Drosophila melanogaster: one gene and its partners. The protein of the gene in region 3 interacts with the protein of the main gene of each other region in a pairwise test. Each region holds a gene or a part of one and is shown on either strand. Other genes may lie near its edges. The genes, in order: CG32086, Cen, HP1e and RpS21.

Region 1 (4,412 bases), on a different chromosome or scaffold from region 3:
AATAATTTTATAGATAAAATGAAAATATTAGGCAAAATTCTTTTAAAAAGAATTTCTTTATTTCAAAAACTACTAGTGCAGCTTAATTTTTCCTGTGGGTCACAATCACGATGGTCTTGTGGCACCTCTTTGGGTTCTTGCACTTCCGCTTGGGAATGCGGGTGTGGCACCAGTTGTTGCCCCTCCAACAAAGCTTTTTGTGAGTGGAAGCGGCCGTTGTTGTTGTTGTGGTCGATGCTGCAGTGGTGGTTGTTGTTGTGGTGGTGGCATCAGTTGTTGTTGTATTACTAGAAGATGAAGCCACCTGGATGGCCAGGGCAATAAGGGCAACCACGAACAGGTATTTCATCTTTGATGTTATTGTTGGTTATGTTGGTTAGCTGGCAAAGCAATTGATATTAGACTTGGCTTAAAAGCGGCGAAGGGCTGTTGTGATCAACTGATGTTGAAGTCACCCCATTTATAGTTCTCCAGTAATTTCCGGATTTAGAAAACTAGTATTAATTTGATTTCCTAACTGATCACAGAAATTTAAATATTTGGTCGTAAGACACCAGCTTTGAAAGTTTAATGCTGTAGCAAATATTTGCTTCACACAAATGACAGCCCAAACTTATGCTATAGTTTATTTTTGTTTATTATATATTTGTTTGTCATGGTAAATTGTCTAAGTATTATGTAGATATGGCCTCTATTTTGTTGTGCATTTCAGTACGAAACTGCGTGACGGATGCCATTTCATTTTGGTCCTTGAACTTAGTCATTAGACTCTGCCAAATAGCTTCGAATTTATCAGTTGTTACGAGACTTCTAAAGATACGTTCGATTTCCGCTTTGGGCCGCAAACAGGTGAAATCACTGTGAGTAAGGCCACGTAAAATGGCCAAATCCGGTGTTATAAGATCCTTGGCAGTTGTTTTATTCCCTTCGAGATTCTGGCTAATTGCTCCCGTATTATCCTTTGACTTGTTTTGAAGATCGGCGCAGAGCAAACGATATGTGGTGTCCAGACAACTAACATCGGATACATTGGTCAAGTTTCCCGTTTTCGGCAGAGAATTCTGAATCGAGAGAAGTCGAAAGAAATCTACATAATTCACCCGCTCCGTGGCACAGCCCTCGTCCACAATCAGCCGAAAATTGGACAAGGCCAGACGGATTTTTTGCGCATCCAGACGGATGTGAAAACTTCTGAAAATTTCCAAGATGCGTGCCAGTGGCAAGTGACCCGTTCCATCCGTGTCACTCCTCTCCAGCACTGAATTTAGTGCGTACTTGTGAAATTCCAGCTGGTTCCTCAAACTATGACGTTTTTTGTTCAAATAGCGTATGGCATCTAGTAGCCGGTTGGTTTTGTAGCAGGGTTCAATATTATTTAGCAGCATCTTCACATCGCCATTGCTGCGCAGAGGAACACCGAAAGTTATGTCGGGCACCGCAAAAGTGTACCTACAGACAGTCTAAAACTATTAATCAAAATCTATATCTATCTATACTTACTTTTTGTTTCGCATTCCGAGGGGTGCCTCGTTTCGATCCATAAAGTCCACTTGCGCCTTGCCAATAACCTTCAGGTGGTTCTCACCTTCCTCCAGACATCGCTTCACTTTCAGTCCAAAATCGCCGTGAGTATGTATATCTCCACAAGGTGATTTTCGATCAAATGGTTGGGCATATCTAAAAAATATTTAAGACGTTCATTAAATATGCACCATTGCATTTGTAGTGACCAATAGCTTGACCTGCGGTTAACCTGCTCCGAAGGAAAGTAGTGATTGTGGCTGATGATGTACTTGTCGTGGAAAGCCTCGTACTCCTTATTAACTTGCTCCGCCGACTTGGCCGGCAATATGACGTCGTAGAGACATTCATTTTGTGATTGACTCGATGGACTTCCGAAGGTTTGGCTTATATTGGTCACGTCTTCCGGTTTGGAGTACGTTTTCTTGACCCCACCCAAAGTGGCCTTTTTGAAGTACATTTCCTCGTAGAACTTCTCCTTGAAGGACATAAAGCGCGACTTTTGCAACTCGCTGGTGAGCAAATCCCGGATGCTGCTGCTGGGTTGAACGGAACCGGCTGGGAACTTCTGGGATTTTTTATTGATCTGCCCGTAATTGCGCCTAACTAGACTCTCAGCCAATTCTTCTGGATTGCTAATACTAAGACAAACTTTTACACCTTCCGCTCCATCTAATCCACTGGTGGACAATCCTGCAGTCGGTATATTTGCATTTCTGTCTATAAAGTGTCCCTTATTGGCCATGTTTATGAGTGTATTTATGTATATAGTGTGGGTTCAAGTGTTTTCAGAGTGCTTATACATATTACTGAGTGATAAAGCAGAACATCTTAAATAAATAAATAATTGTATTTATTGGTCTTGTAAATGAGTATGTTTACATGTCAAATAATTTATGGCTTAGTATTAGTTCAACTTTAGCTAGTCGTCTAGTCTATTGTACATGGTACTAGTACATCATTGCACGTCTCTCTCTGGCCGCGGAGATGGCATCTGTTTTTTCAGTACAGGTGGTGGTTCTTGTGCAGGACAAAGTCCCAGGTATCCTTCCATCGAAGACTGCGAACCTCATTTAAAGTCATTTTTCTCGCACCATAACTGAATGGTATAAACTTTGAGAAAATGCTAAGCACGCCCACCAGCCACAGGATTAGCATGAGGCGATAAAGGCGCACCAGATGGACACCACGTCCGGTGCAGAAGCGCCTGAGCAGATAGTCCAAATGCTCCACGACAAAGCACAATAAAAGTAACTTAAACACAAAGGCTGGCAAGTAATTGTGCAGGAAGAGTGTACGATCCACACAAAAATACGGAATATAGTGCATCACGTAGCCCATAAAAAAGGTGTCACCAGCTAATACGAATCGCTGCCACTCTTGCTCCGAAATATCAAAGCAAAGACGTTGCCGCCGCATCGCGTAGAAGGCGAGTAATCCGGCATAGACAAGTATTCCCATGGTGGCTGTGTACCAGAGTAGTATGTTTCCCAGCAAATAGATCTGCGCACTCGACTGTGAGTCCAACCAATAAGCGATGCCCTTGTCCATTAGCGGCCACTCGTGCGGCATCGAGCTGTACATGTGATTTGGCACTGACTTCGTTTGGAACAGCATCTTGGATTGTAGCTCCAGTAGCTTGGCCCAGAACGAGATGCGCGTCCGCTTTGTGGGTATCATCTCGGCAGTTAGCATCTGGCGCTCTCGCTCCCGATGATCCTCAGCTATAAAGGGTTGTAAATGAGGATAACGTATTTCTTCAAGTATCTCGAAGAGGACTTACTCTGTGTATAGCGGTGCTCCTCAACATTCCAAATGGCATCCTCATGTATTGCCTTTTCACGATCCGCCACCACCTCGTGCTGATTGAAACCCCATTCGGGAAGTTGGCGCCCACTGAACTTCAAGGAGGCTTCTGTGGACACGTGAACGAGGCGGACCTCCGACTTGATGGCATGCCAAATGTCACCTTCGGAATCGCGATTCAGAATCTCCACGCGCCACAACAGTTCACCGGCCATTTTGATCTCGTAATCTATGTAGCAGCTGACTTCTTGGCACTGCGGCGTCATTGCCGCAGCCACATCGTGTGAGTTCAGAGCTCGGCTCGTAATTCCATGGACCAACTGAATAATTTCACCGTGCCGAATGATATCCGGCTCATCACCCACCACCAGGTTCTCCTTTGTTGGTCGCTTAACCAGCCACCAGTTGTTCACATCCTTGAAGGAGTAGCAGGTGACCTGCTGCTGGTGGGAGGAGCCTCTCTTGTCCGGATACCGCACCGGATAGACAGCTGCATGCGAGTGCAGCCAACAGGTGCGTCCGTGGGTGTGTCGTAGTGTGATTTGGGATCCATGAACCACTGCCAATGGCTGTCCTTTTGTGATCGATGCCAATCCTCCATCTAACGAGGCCTGAAACGCGCTAGTCATGATGCTATCATGCGGTCCAGCCCGGTGCAGCGTCTTGAAGTGGATATAGAAGACTCCCAAGTAGACCGCCAATGGAATTCCAACAAAGATTAACAGGCGACTTATGGCATGCATCCATAGCTGGCGATCTTGAAAAAAATGGTTTTATTTTGATTTATTCAATCTCTATTATTATATCGTAAATCGTATTTGTAAATCTCAGAAAAAAAGGTATCTTACCGGTGAGACCGGCGTCGTAGAGCAGTTGCCACAGGTGTCGACACAGCAAATAAAAGGCTAGCCCCAGTGCCAAGAATCCGACGTACTTGACGGTTCCGGCGGCTCCCAAACAGACGGCAGCTGCCGTTCCAGTAAAGAACCATTCCAGGCTGCCCAGGCGACTTCGTTGGAAGCGTAGCAAACAGGCGATGCCCACCGTGGTGGCCAGCAGAAGCATTGATTCCATCAGAACAAAAC
Region 2 (5,723 bases), on a different chromosome or scaffold from region 3:
AACGTAAATCCGACAGTGGCACAAATCGCAGAGTGCCTGGCGGACTGGTATAAGTTGGCTCAGACCGTCTACCTTAAAACTCAAATTTTGGAGAAGGACGTGCGCGATTGCGAAAGAAAGTTGAACGGAATACGCGATGAGTTGTATCACGTTAAGTCGGAGCTGAAGCTGGATGTGGACACAAAGACCATAAACAACAATAATCAGCTGGCCAAGATAGAGGAGCGGAATCGGCTAAGGGTCATGCAGCAGCAGCAACAGGAAGTTATGGCTGTCATGAGAACGAACAGCGATATAATAAGTTTGCTTAGCAAACTGGGCATTACCAACGGAAGTCTGGAAAGTAGTTAGACGGGCATATCATGAAAGTGCAAGAATATTTTATTTGCCTTTACTTTGTAAGTTAACAATAAATGTTTACTTTTTTATATCTGAATTTGTAAAGCAACTACATATATTCCTATTGAAACTTGGCTGAATATCGTGAAAGAGTAAGATTTCTGTAGGTCATTAAATTATTTATTTTATCATGCTGAAATAAAATTAAATTTCCGATTATAGTTATTTAGTTATTGTTATTTAACTGTCTATACATGAAAAAGCGGACTAGACTGCATGGCACACACAATTTAAAAATGGTAGAATGCCCTATGGCTAGAATGCACTGTTTAATTGCTTATTTACATTCTCTAAACAAGTTTACTTTTGACGAAACTGATGATGATGACTCTTGCGAATGTTGGCTCCGTTGTGTTGCTGTCGCTGGGAATGTGATCTTGTGGGTCCATGTTCGCCGGCATCGGCCCGGCGCAAAACTTCGGCGTAGGATAAGTCTAACTTTTTAAGTTTATGTAAGTCTTGCGATACCGTGTTATGATAAAACTCGACGCCATTGAGCTCTATTACTCGGCCCCGAGAAGTTTGGGGAGTATTCATATTCTTGTTATAGATCACCATGGGAGAGCCATTCCAGTTGCTTGAGGATGGAGTTGTCCGTCTGCGGTTACTGCGTCCGAATTCAGCATTCAATGTATCCGTACACATCTTTGAGCTCCCTTGTCCACCACCACGGTTGTTCATGGCCAGAGGACTGTTCCTGGGAGTAAATTCCCGGGAGTTAAACAATTCGATGCGATCTCCAGATGAGCTTTGGTTTCGGTGCTTTCGTCGGTTCTTCTTCTTGATTCCGACACCTACGGTTAGATATTCGAGTGGTTCGCGCTTGAGTGGAGTAAGTATCTGGCCATTCTCCCTTATGGGTTTATAATTCGGTTCGCCGACAGTTGTTTCCTTCGAGGAGCTGTTTAACAAAGTGGATTGCGTTAGGGACGATTGGTTTTGTTGGTTTCGGACATCAAAGATGTGTTTTTTGGCTGTCTTCCGCTCCAGTTTGGTAACGCACTCGGACATTGCAATGGACTGGTTGGATATAACTGAGGATACGACGCTCTGTGTGTCGTCAATGAAGTCATCTGGAGATTCCTCCCTCTCGGGTGTTACCGGGGGTACTTTGGCCGCCACCAAGGGTAATTTTTCTGTAATCTGTGCGTCGTCATGCAGGGACGGAAGCTTGTCTTCTTCGTTATTATCAGCTGCCTTCTTGAGCACTCCAAATATCTCCTTGAAGAGTTCCCTGTACTCCGGGCGATTACGGAAATGAGATTCAATGGGGCTGACGTCGTCATAAATACTGAATTTACAATCGTTTCCATTACTTATTGAGCAAAGGAAGTAACTCGGTCGCTCGTCAGTTTGCGTAGACTTGTTGCTAGTTTCATCCGAGAATCCCGACGATGTAGTTTCTGATTCCGAAAACTCGGTTGGAGTGCGCTTACGTGTTGAATCCAACATAAGGTCAGATTCCTTTGAGCTGTTAACAATTGTTTCTGATTTTTTGCCTTGACTGGACTCGGTCATGGTCTTCCCATCTGGATTGCTGGTGAAGTTGCTCTTGACCGCATTCGAGGTTCTCTTCACCTCCACCAGAGCTTCATATTTCTCGACTAGGTCCCGATAAGGATTTGGTTTGTCGCTAGAGTTGGGATTGAGGTCCTCGGGAATCCGGAAGCGTTCCTTATAATCCGCACCACTATTATCGCATTTCGAGGTGCTTTCGCTTAGTATGCTGCGATCGTCATCTTCGTAGATTTCTTCGGTTGGGGCAATGGAGGATTGATCATCCATATTGGTGTTGCTTTCGTTAATATCCCTCAGGCAGCGACTACACATTTGGCCTTGTCTCACGTCGTCCAGGAGGCTGAACTCCTCGTGCATCGACATTGTTCCCTCATTGGCACTGTTCTCCAGCAGACGTGTCTGCAGACCTTGGTTGTCTTGGATTATGGTCACCAACTGCTCCTCCAGCTCGGTGCACCGCTGCTGTTCGGCCAAGAAGTCACGTTTTAACACCTCCATTTCGCTGAGCAGCTTTACCAATTCCTCGTTGTCTTCACCCTTAACGGCGGTCCTCTCGCACATGGTGGCATTACTGAAGGAGATATCCTCCAATCCTGTCGAGTTCGCTATGGCCATAACATCTAGTTTGGAGAACTCAACACTCTGCTCCTTGCACAGCGATTGAATGCTGTGACTGGACACAGAACCCTCGGTCGAATGCTGCATCCTATAGCGTTCCTGCTGGTACTGATCCACCTTCCGCCGCTCGGTGCTCAGGGATTGCCGAGCATCGCTCAGAAGTTGACTCAGTTCCTCGCAGCGGGCTTCCAGGACTTCCGTGTTGGTGGTCAGCGTCTTAATCTGCTTCTTGTCCCGATTCTTCTCCAGATTTAGCCGCTGATTGGCACGCTCCAGATCCTGAATGCCCACTTCCAGCTGCTCGTAGACCTTAAGCCGTGAATCATTCACCTCGGTCATCGCATTAATGTGCTTGCGCAGATGCAAGATCTCCAGTTCCTGCTCATCCCCCTTAATCTTGTACTCCTTGATGAAGGTTTCCAGCTCCTTATTGCGTTCCAGGAGCGTTTTTCCCAGCTCTGCTGCCAATTGTAGGTCATCGAGCATGAACTGCGATACGTTTTCACAGCCAGCCGAACCGTGATTGGATTCCTCCATCTTGGACTTGGACCTTTCTAAGCTTGGGCTTGATGCGAACTCTGGCGAAAATTTAAAGATTTAATCGATTTTAGTTCATTTAGCAGCAGAGCTTTGTGAGCAAAGCAAAACTCAAACAGTAATTACTTGGCAAATGTCCTCTCAATGGTGGAAAACTGCTACAACAGTAACTTTTTTACTGTTTCATCCCCAAAAACAAAAAGTATGGTATTGCAGCGAGTGCAGAAAAAGCCCTACGTACTAGGGCGCAACTGCATGTACGAATAGTTAATTAATGCTTTTTATTATACACAATCGACCTGCAGACAAAGAACCGAAATGAACTTCCTAGCAGAACCGGAAATAAATTTATAATAGGATTATTCGCATTAGGGGGATTCCTGCTCAGATAGGGCTATGATTTAAGCTCGCCTTTCTTATATAACCCCTCGCGAGTTGTTTGGGGAAACCTTGTTGGATTCTGAAATACCAGCAAAATGCACGGATGTATAATTATATTTTTGAGCTTTCATTGTCTTTGAAAGAAGCATGCAATATCATAATAGATCAGTACATGAATACCCATATTAATTATTACGCATATTTATAGTTGTCAAAATTAATAAATCCAAATTGTTATGTCTCCTTAGTAATTCCTTTGCTCACAGAAGCAAAATATTTGTTTGAACATTATTAATTTAAGTTACCCTAGAATTTGGCGTATTTAAAGTTCAGATACCATCTAAGTTTAAATATATCTAGGAAGTGCAACCGATAATGTGTGGGGTGTTAAAAATAAATATATATATTAATTATACAAATATTTAAGATAAGTAATTATTTGACGCTACCTTATCGCAACGATAGCTTGGCTTTAATTACCAACCACCGCCTGGTCACACTAAGCGGCCGGCGTTCTTGTTTTGATTTTGTGTTTCTTCCTTTTCTTAATTCGAGGACAGTATGAGCCCCCCGCCATGCTGGACGCTCTAATTCGGGCAGCGGAGCTTGTGGATCTGGTCCTGCTGCGTCCGCTGGCCAGCGTGATTGATGCAGTGATTACTGGCGTGTACTACTTCCTGTGGGGCAGCTACCTCGTCGGCTTCTGTTTGGTGGAGGGCAGCAGGAAAGGATGGAATCTGTTGAGATGCGCGGTCAGGAATATCAACGAGGGCATCCGCGACTTGGGCCTCATCACGCTAGATGTGGCGGACTACTTCTACGGCGGCACCAAAGGCGGGCTCAAGAATGTACTCGATTTTGGTCACTGCATATCCCGATTCATCTGCAACTTACTCATCGATCTGGGTGATGGCATCTTGTGGCTGCTGATGCTGCTGCCGAGGGCCATACTATTCCTCTGGGACTGCCTCCTAGACTTTGTGGTGCACTCAATCGTGGCCCATGGCTTGAGCTTGCTGAACAGTGCGTTCCGGGCCTCGATAGGATTGGCCCTGCTCCTCGTTCTCTATATGTTCCGCCGCTATGTGTACCTGATGCTCATCTACCTGCTGCAACGTGGACGCATTGAAATCTCGACGAAGACGCAAAGCGTTTACCTATGGACCCATCATAAATTGCAACACTTCATACACAATGTTTGGTATGTGTCAGAGAACGCAGGATCCGCGAGTCCAGAACGCTGTGTCGTGTGCATGGCTCAAAGCAGGAACGTAGTAGTCATGCCATGCCGGCACCTCTGCCTCTGCAAAGAGTGCTCCCTGCAGCTCGTGCTCCTTTTAGAAGACCGCTGTCCTGTCTGCAGGCACAACATTACGTCGTTCCTGTCAGTTTACGTTTGATATATAAGACTGCCAATTGGAATTTAACTTATAAGTAATTATGATTCTCAGAAGTTAACCAAATGTCTTTGGTTAAGACACTTGTAATAGAAAAAACAAATAATCTTTACAAAGCAGAACAGACAAAACATTTTAATGCAGCTTTCAATTCCCAGACACCTAAAATATCAAGTAAAACAAGTTAAATTGTTTTATGTATTTATTTCAAACCAATGAAAATATACGATTTGTTTTGTATACATTTATGTAAATACGGTTTGGTTTTGCGTATAACTAATTTGCTCAAAAGACAGATATAGAAAAAACGTTTGTTTTGGGCTTACATCGTTTAAGTATATATAATTAAAGATTAAATCGAAATGAAATGATTCGCTTTGCTTGTTATCGTATTGCAGAGTTAATTGAATTGCAAGTTATAGTTCTTCCATCATAACACTTATATGATTTGGGTTCTTAACTGGTAAATGAAACGATCAAATAAGAGTAAATTACACAACTGGCAATATAGCATTGGTAGTACCGATGTCTATCAGATAGACATTTGTGATAGCGTCTATAGGTTTCACCTCTCTTTCTGCTTTCTGCATTTCTAGTAGTAGGCGCATAAGTGGGCTGGATATACATAGCTAATGTACATACATAGCTTAGGTTATCTATTGTGTGGTTGGGGGTGTAGTGGGAAATAGCGCCCGATGTACCGATTGACGCTCTTATTACGAATAACATTATCTTGCGAAGGACGTCTAATTATGCTATATAAATTTAATTTGTGCCAATTTCTTCTGTTGCTTTTCAATTTGTTGTATAAAGCTTTATGCGCTGCATCTAGCTTAATTCTATCCGTTACATAGTAAAATATATATGTATGTT
Region 3 (3,656 bases):
GCGCACGAACGAATCTGGCTTTCCATTATGACCGTGTACACCCCAACAGCCTAGCAAGGAAGCTAGGAACTGCAGCTGTGGTCAATGCTGACCCTCGGACTAGAGTCAAAAGAAGACTCAAGCGACACCACCCTCATGACCTCCCTAACCTGGTTTTGACCTAGAAAGTCTTAGTTTTAAAATTCATTAGAATAATCAAATAAATAATAATTACTATGTTATATCAACTATTATAATTCTCCCTAACATTTTTAGGATTAAAAATCTGTTAGTCTTAAGTAACCAAGACACATTGTAAAATAAAATAATTTAAGCAGATCAAATTAAGTTGCCGCATGGGTAACAGTGCGTTGATCAAATAATAAAAACATCAAATATTGGTCTCAAAAAAAAAAAAAAAAAAAAAATTATGACCGTAATACTGTCAAAAACAAGCACACAATAATTATAATGATGATCAAATAAAACTGGAAATTAGCCCAAAGTGTGTTAAGTCAAGCGAGGAATCCGAACAAAGGAACTACAGCCAGCACTGGAGGCAAAAAGTGACAGTAAAATTGGCTCGAAGACAGCGGCTAATGAGCGTGCGATAGGAATAAAGGAGTAGAATGGGGCCAAAAACCCAAGAAACTCAAGTTGGCTAAAAGGCAAAGATATCGCAGTACTAGTCAAATACGAGAATACTGAGAGAGCATTTTGCGATGGGCTTGTGGCAAGACTAAGCGTCTTACTGGCAAATTGGGAACGGGGTAAGAGGAAAAGCCGAAAGCTAAACAAAGACGGCCAACGCAGATGGCAAAAAGGAAAAACTCAATTGCCGCACAAACCGAGCCGCCATTGTTTTCTTAATTGAGTGTCTTTTGCTAGTGTGTCTGTGTGCCAGTATGTTTGCTCATACATATATGGGGTATCTGTGTGCCAGGACACTATGCTCATTGCCGCCTATCTGCCGGCAGAGTTCGCTTATCAATTACATTGAATTTACCCAGGCAGAAATGGCTTTTAGCCATTCTAGGCACCACCCCCTGCAATCAATATTTGCCGGAAGTGATGGCATAGGCAGTCACATTGACTTTTGCGCCGACTGCTCACCTCTCCACTTCCTGTGCTTCCGATTTGACGCTGATTTCACAACTCGCCGCACGGAAATTGCCCGGCCCCCCATTTACGGCTTCAGTAAACAACCGCACCTCACGTTTCTTGACCACCCCTCCACTCCATTTCGATTTTCGAATCTTCACTGTACTGCAGTTGACGAAGGCGCACATTTTATGTATGTATTTGCCGTGAATCTCCAACTCCATCCTACTTCATAAGTCGCCTGATTTATTCCGGCCACGTAGCACTCACTGCACAGTTTGATTGCCACATTCGCATGTAAATGCTGGCCTCTAAAAAGTATTCAAACCAAGCGACCCAATCCCACAAATCTGTCCCACGTCATCGCGCATAATCGAGCTTTTAATTTCGGGTAATAAAACTTTGCCGATTTAATATCAGGTACGTGGCGCCTTCATTCTACAAAAGAAAGCCATAAAATGTGGAACTGACTTCGAGGGAAGCCATAAACTTATGTTTTTCAATGAAGGATAAATAAGAAAAATAACTAGTTGTTACACCTTTCAAATTTTTAAAGCATATTCCCCAATTTATTGTCAAGTGATTCATCAACGATTTCTGTGGCCTGCAAAGTTTGCCTTGAAAGGCAAAAGATTTTGTTCATTAAACAACGTGATACACGAAACCAAACTGAAAAAAACTTTGTTCTACGAGTATTTCAAACTTTTCGCCAAGTTTACGCATAATTTTTTACGATATTTTCCGCAGTTTTTCCTTTTGACGGCTCATCTTATTCTTATTGTTGTTCGAAAGGACTTACCCAGCATCCAGGGATCTCTAATAGATTTCCGGCAAACAATTTTATTCACTTTCTGCTATTGAATTTGGTATTATTAATGCCGCATTTCCTAAGCTGTGGGCATTAAGTATATGGCTAACTTTTCTACTTCAGGATATTAAACGAATTCATTACAATATTTTTCATAATTTTATTTCTTTTGGCAAGAAGATATTAAAGTAGACCAGCATTTAAAAGAAAACTTGTCTGCACAGAAAACTACGTTTTGTTGAGTAGCAACTGTAGATAAAAAGTTACGAAAATGTTTTTCGCTCTGACATTGCTGTCAAAACTCATCAAAAAAATACTATTTGAACATTTAAAAATATAAAATGGATTCAGATGCCGATGGTGGCGAGACCGTTTCGAATTTCTCTGAAAATTCGACGGATTTTGAAGAAACTGAGGAGTATATTGTAGAGAGGATTTTGGATCGAAGGCATTATATGGGCCAATTACAATACTTGGTCAAATGGCTGGATTATAGCGATGAAGATAATACCTGGGAATCGGCAGCAGATCTCGATTGCCATTCACTTATTGATTCGATTGAATCACAAAAAAGTCTGAAGAGGGGTCAAGAGCTGAATAATCAATATGAAACTAAAGCTAAACGACTGAAAATCGATCCATGTCTAGTAGTAGATAGTCCTTTTAATCATGGTTTCACTGCACAAGAGATTCTAAAAGGCGCTAAAAACAATGGTGAAATATCGTTTTTAATTAGGTTTTGGCATCTCGATCAACCACAAGTGGTGCCAAGTGGAATTGCATATGTGGAAATACCGCAGATGGTTCTGAAATTCTATGAAAATCATTGCAATTTTCACGATTATTTAAATAATTATATATCATGACTTGCAATTCTGGATCTTCAAAAAAAAAAAACTTATGAATATGTGTGTGAGCTTCTTATATTTTATATGTTAGGTTAAATTGCTTTACTTTTTATAATAAAAGGTGTCCCTTTGCACAGCATTACAAACAATAATGAAGGCAAAATGCCAAGTTTTAAGTGATTTTTGGGGCGTGTTTGCCCGACAGGCAGCGTAAACACTCTTAATTGCAACAACAGTGCCGGCAAACAAGGGCCAGGAATGTACGACGGCCAAAATGAAGCGAAAATATTTGCATTCCGTTTTTGTGGCCATTCCCTTGTCTCATCGCAAGTACCAAAAGTCGTAAGACCTATTCTCTGTTTTTGGCTGATGGGGCGTGGTGGCCGGACGTACTTTTGCCCTATATATTCGTGTTTGTTTTTCGTCACTTGGGTCCTTTTTTTTGGAGGGGGGGGGGGGGGGCTCTGGTGCTACCCAGTTGCGTCCAGTGGGCACGTAGCCACAATAGCAGCAAAAAGGTTTCGTTTAAGCCTTCTGCACTTTTGCCGAGAATTGATACTGCAATATCCGGTCGAGCAAGTTCAACTCCAATCAATTGCTCTTCGATATTGGTAAGTTTTTGTCGGCGGTAAAAGAAACTAAGACCTATTTGAATTTATAGGCACACGCTTGATTCAACTTTTGTTTTGACGTTATGCTTGCACTGGTGTTCAATACTATTTCTATTCAAAATATTCTTAGATTAAGCTAGATAACTGATCCATGAAACTAGTGAAGCATTTATTCACGCTGTGCTTTTTTAGATTTTGTGAGTTAAAAAAGAATAATGTTTTTTTTCGATTTTCACAGAAATAATTGAAAAAAAGGAGGGGGGAAACAAAAAATTAATTTGGCGCCTACATTCTATTGCCCACATTCCA
Region 4 (4,126 bases), on a different chromosome or scaffold from region 3:
GGCGCCCGGTGCAAATTGAGTGCAATTTGGGTGCAAGTGCACCGGGCGGAAAGTGGGCGGCGCACAGTGGGGCAAAAGCAGCACACCTTAAATGTCAAGGTTTTATGTAAGCAATTGCCCGCCCCTATTTAGTTTTATTTATATTGTTATTGGCTGTTATAGGTTTGGTTTTTGGCAACGATATATATTGTAATATATTATTGAATATTTATTATGAGGCATGGCATTTTTAGGATACAGCAAAAACAATTCAAAAGTAATCAATGCCAAATGCGAAAATAACTTCTAAGACCTAATGATTCTTCAGCTAATGTAAATGGAAATAGGTTTTTTCGCCATTATGGTACTTATGATTATCACTGAGGACCGTGCACCTGGAACGGCTCGTTAGTGAGTCAGGAATTCAGCACGCGACAACGCGAGAATGGAAAATACGGCGAAAAGTAAGGGGATTATTATGCTTTTGTTTGGGGTGCACATGAATGTACATACGTACATGCATATGTACATTAGTACGTAATGCTCTATAAGGTAAGGAACTACTCACCATGTACTGTTTGCGAAAATATGCTAGTTACGAAGTCTGCCTAATACTGTCCAAGTTGCTGTGGCGTCCGTGTGGAAATGGTTATGCTATTGCATCACATTTATATATTCTTGTAACTGAGCAAGTTGCTTAACAATTTGTTGCCTCTTTGTTGTTCTTTGTCACATATTTTAAAGGACGCGCAGTTTCCGTTTCCAATTGGATTCCGTTTTCGTTATGTTGTTGTGGTACCAACCGACTGCTTGTACCCTAAACTACTACAACTACAACAGCACCGTCACATTTGGCCCCCAGGAATGGGTAAATGGTTGTTATGCCTCGCAAATTTAATATATATATAACTTTTTTTCGTTTCGCGACGCGATGAAAATCACTCGAGCTCTGAACTTGCAGTGTGACCGCGTTTGCTGAACTAGAGATGGCCAAGCATCGATTGCACTATCGATTACCTATGCATTCTCAAAAATTCGCATCCACAAAGTAGGAACTATCTGTTTCGACTAACGGTCATACTATGCAATAAATTCAAAATTTGTTTATACTTTTTGCGGACGAAGAGTTATATATTTCATATTCTGTTTTGACAAAGGATTGCTGTTTGTTTATAATCGTAATACAAAGCATATGCTATTTTGGATATAGAACACTAGAATTCCCATAGGCGAACTTATTCAAATATCAAATTAATTGGTTCCTGAAAGCACCCGTAAATTCTTAGTGGCTGAAAAGTCTTATTGGAAGTCAGAATAATTACTCCACACACTAAGCATCTTAGTTATGCTTTGCTTTGAGCTAATCCTGGTTCTAACTGCCACCGAAAAATGATTCCATTGTTTATGCCAGAAGTAAATAAAACAATTTCGAACGTTATACGTTAAATTACAAAGGGAAATCGCTTTATTACCAAATCAAAATCTAGCTATGGGTACGCCACGCTTAGAAGTTCCTGCAAGGCGAAAAATGCGCGATTAGTGGATGTCCATCCCGGGGATTCTAGCACAAACTCACTTGGTAATGATGCCGTCCTTCTTGGCCAGACGCACGATGCAGTCGTCGGACTCGCCCATGCGACGGATCTCGCCGCAGATGGCGTAGGTCTTGGAACCGTCGGTCTGGCGACCGGTCTCGGGGTCCACATCCACGATGCTCAGCTGCACGGAGGCGTGATCCTTGGCGTGGATGATCCTGTTGGACGCCGAGCTGCAGGGAAGGGTATCGGCTGGTCAGTAATCCATTCGGCAAATTGTGCGGGGAACACGTGTTTCACTTACCATTTGCGGGGCACGTACAGATCAACATTCTCACCGGCGTCGTTCTCCATTTTATTGGGCTGAAAGGTAAGGGACACAATTAGCTTGCTTTTTATTCAGTTTTAGTGGCGGCCACTGCTGGTTTACTCACTTTTTTGTAGAAATTTACAAATCTAGCGACCGCAACTCGTCGGTGAAGGCGAAAAAGAGAAAGAAATGACAGCTGGACGTGAAGTTGGCTGCGCTGCGCGTGGCGCCCCCTGTCGGAAGTTTTGCGTACCAGCTGGTTTTGGGGTGACCAGCTGGCAAAGGTTTTGGTATTTATTTAATTGTACATTTTTGCAAGATATTTCCATTCCCCTTTAATGAATAGGCATGTTTCAATTTTGGTTATGCACCAAAATGTATTTTAAAATTAAATGATAATTAAAAAAAAATTTCACTTGGTTTTGTAAGTAAATATCAATAGATTTAAATATATATTTTCCCGCATTAGTGGAAAATACCAAAATCTAATGAATGACATATTAGATACATGTTCCAGCAGCGACTGGTCACACTTTCGAAGGCCTGAGCGAAGGCTGCAGATTTCGCGTCGGGAAAATTCTATTGCATATTTAGGGGCGCATCAAGTAAATGGCTCCCATTAGAGTGGCTCAATATATATTATTCGCAAGCTCCCAACTGCACGGACTTACTTATTTAGCATGTGAGTATTGATTTTGCAACAGCCAGTCAGTCAGTCTGTGATTTTGTTTTCGCTGGATGGGCGTTCAGCGCGACTGCCCTTTGACCTCGCTCGATGTCAGCAGCGATTTTCGTCAATGGATGCGGACCCCCACTTTTTATTGCCACTTCGCGTGTGTTTGTGCGGCTGTTGGGGCGCCCCAAGTGGGCGGCATTGTTTTCATCGCGCGCCATGTCGCGGAATTCGCAGTCCACGTTGCCTATTTATAGGCGTCGCTCACTCAATGAACTCTCTGATCGCATTTCATTGTGAGTTCGGACTTAGCTTTTTCAGTTGGACGCCAACTTTGGAAGCAATCGGTTCGCTTCGCGTCGCTCGATTTCAAAAATCCCAAACGGCGTGACTTTTGCCTTATTGTTGTTAGTTGTGTTTTTTCGACTGAAACTTCTTGAGGTGAGATTTCACAAGTGGTTATGCTGCTTGTTGACCTTTTGTGTGTGCAAATTATGATATTTTTGCATAATATGTTTGCCACCAGCCCAGTACAGCCGAGAGCAAAAAGATAAAATGAAATAAAATGAGATCATGATAACGTGAGATGCTATTTATAAGCACCTAAACAAGAAAGCAAAGATCCCGAGACCCGTAATAAAGTGGCAATATAGTAAATGAAACGAAATGAAAGTGAAACTAATCATGGTGCTTACAAAATACATTAGATAAATTATGTTAAAGTCCACCCAAAGTGACCAGACTTCAAAAAAGCTATTGATCATTAAAATCAAACAAAATAACAAGTGGCTGCCAAAACAATCTAATCAGTAGATATAACCGTGTACCATAAGAGGTATCGCATATTACGGATATTTTATCAGTTTGCTGGCTTATCTGTAACAAACTTAGCGTACAAAGTTGGTAAGAAAATTACTACAGATATTATAAGCTCTAAAGGTGCTAAAATGTTTCGGAACTATACCTTTTATTCAGCTAAGCCGTCTTTAACGGAATTTTCGTTTCGGCCGTATATTTGAGATACATTCACAATGTAATTATGTGAATAGGGCAATTAAGAGTCGTACTCAGGCTAAGAAAACTCTGAACTCATGTTGTCAGCAGCAGCACACATTGCGTGCCTGGCCAGAAAGACGATGATGATGAAAAGCCGCATGAGGAAAGTCCGAAAAACTAAAACACTTTCTAGGTCAAAAGTTGAAAGGCACAAGGGAAACATCACCATGATGCTCATAAAAAAGGCAAGAAGCGTAGATGAAAATCAGAAAAAAAAATGCGGCTGCATAAAATGCAATTAATAAAGCAGTGTACCCACAAAGTAAGAGACCAGAAAATGAAAAAGAAAATGAAAATGCTTCACTTTGTGACTGGCTTGTTGCGTGTTGATTGAGCCAAGTCAGCTGCGATCTGAGATGCCGCCTGTCAATTTCCAGGGGGAGTTCCTATTAACAACGGAGAAATTACAGCATGCAAAAAAGTTAGTAATTGTTGTTCTCTTGCAATAGGGGAAATCGCATGAGTTGCAATAATCTAGACAAAGCCTTTACTTTCAAGAAAAGGGAATTCATTTGAAGGGCAACAAAGTTGTGAACCTTATCAAATTAATGGCATTCATGTGCAATATAGAGA

Evidence for each region.
Region 1: the proteins of HP1e (region 3) and CG32086 interact in a two-hybrid assay, tested with the Drosophila melanogaster proteins (one large-scale study listed by BioGRID).
Region 2: the proteins of HP1e (region 3) and Cen interact in a two-hybrid assay, tested with the Drosophila melanogaster proteins (one large-scale study listed by BioGRID).
Region 4: the proteins of HP1e (region 3) and RpS21 interact in a two-hybrid assay, tested with the Drosophila melanogaster proteins (one large-scale study listed by BioGRID).

What each region holds. Positions count from the first base shown.
Region 1 is NT_037436.4:11,581,768-11,586,179, forward strand, and holds CG32086 (uncharacterized protein), read right to left. Parts: upstream 2,298-4,412; 5' UTR 2,267-2,297; coding exon 1,743-2,266; intron 1,678-1,742; coding exon 1,501-1,677; intron 1,450-1,500; coding exon 675-1,449; 3' UTR 634-674; downstream 1-633. Other genes in the region: CG33269 (uncharacterized protein), read right to left, coding at 83-349; rt (rotated abdomen), read right to left, coding at 2,524-3,245, 3,305-4,084, 4,176-4,412.
Region 2 is NT_033779.5:20,678,421-20,684,143, forward strand, and holds Cen (centrocortin), read right to left. Parts: upstream 3,427-5,723; 5' UTR 3,199-3,426; exon of another isoform or gene 3,114-3,198; 5' UTR 3,073-3,113; coding exon 700-3,072; 3' UTR 501-699; downstream 1-500. Other genes in the region: IKKepsilon (I-kappaB kinase epsilon), read left to right, coding at 1-351; CG2617 (uncharacterized protein), read left to right, coding at 4,029-4,853.
Region 3 is NT_033777.3:9,319,597-9,323,252, forward strand, and holds HP1e (heterochromatin protein 1e), read left to right. Parts: upstream 1-2,173; 5' UTR 2,174-2,229; coding exon 2,230-2,754; 3' UTR 2,755-2,765; downstream 2,766-3,656.
Region 4 is NT_033779.5:2,853,998-2,858,123, reverse strand, and holds RpS21 (ribosomal protein S21), read right to left. Parts: upstream 2,014-4,126; 5' UTR 1,949-2,013; intron 1,902-1,948; exon of another isoform or gene 1,878-1,901; 5' UTR 1,869-1,877; coding exon 1,819-1,868; intron 1,748-1,818; coding exon 1,556-1,747; coding exon of another isoform or gene 1,552-1,555; exon of another isoform or gene 1,494-1,551; coding exon 1,484-1,493; 3' UTR 1,452-1,483; exon of another isoform or gene 1,356-1,451; 3' UTR 1,095-1,355; downstream 1-1,094. UniProt on the Drosophila melanogaster protein: May be an associated component of the ribosome rather than a core structural subunit. May act as a translation initiation factor. Has a role in regulation of cell proliferation in the hematopoietic organs and the imaginal disks of larva.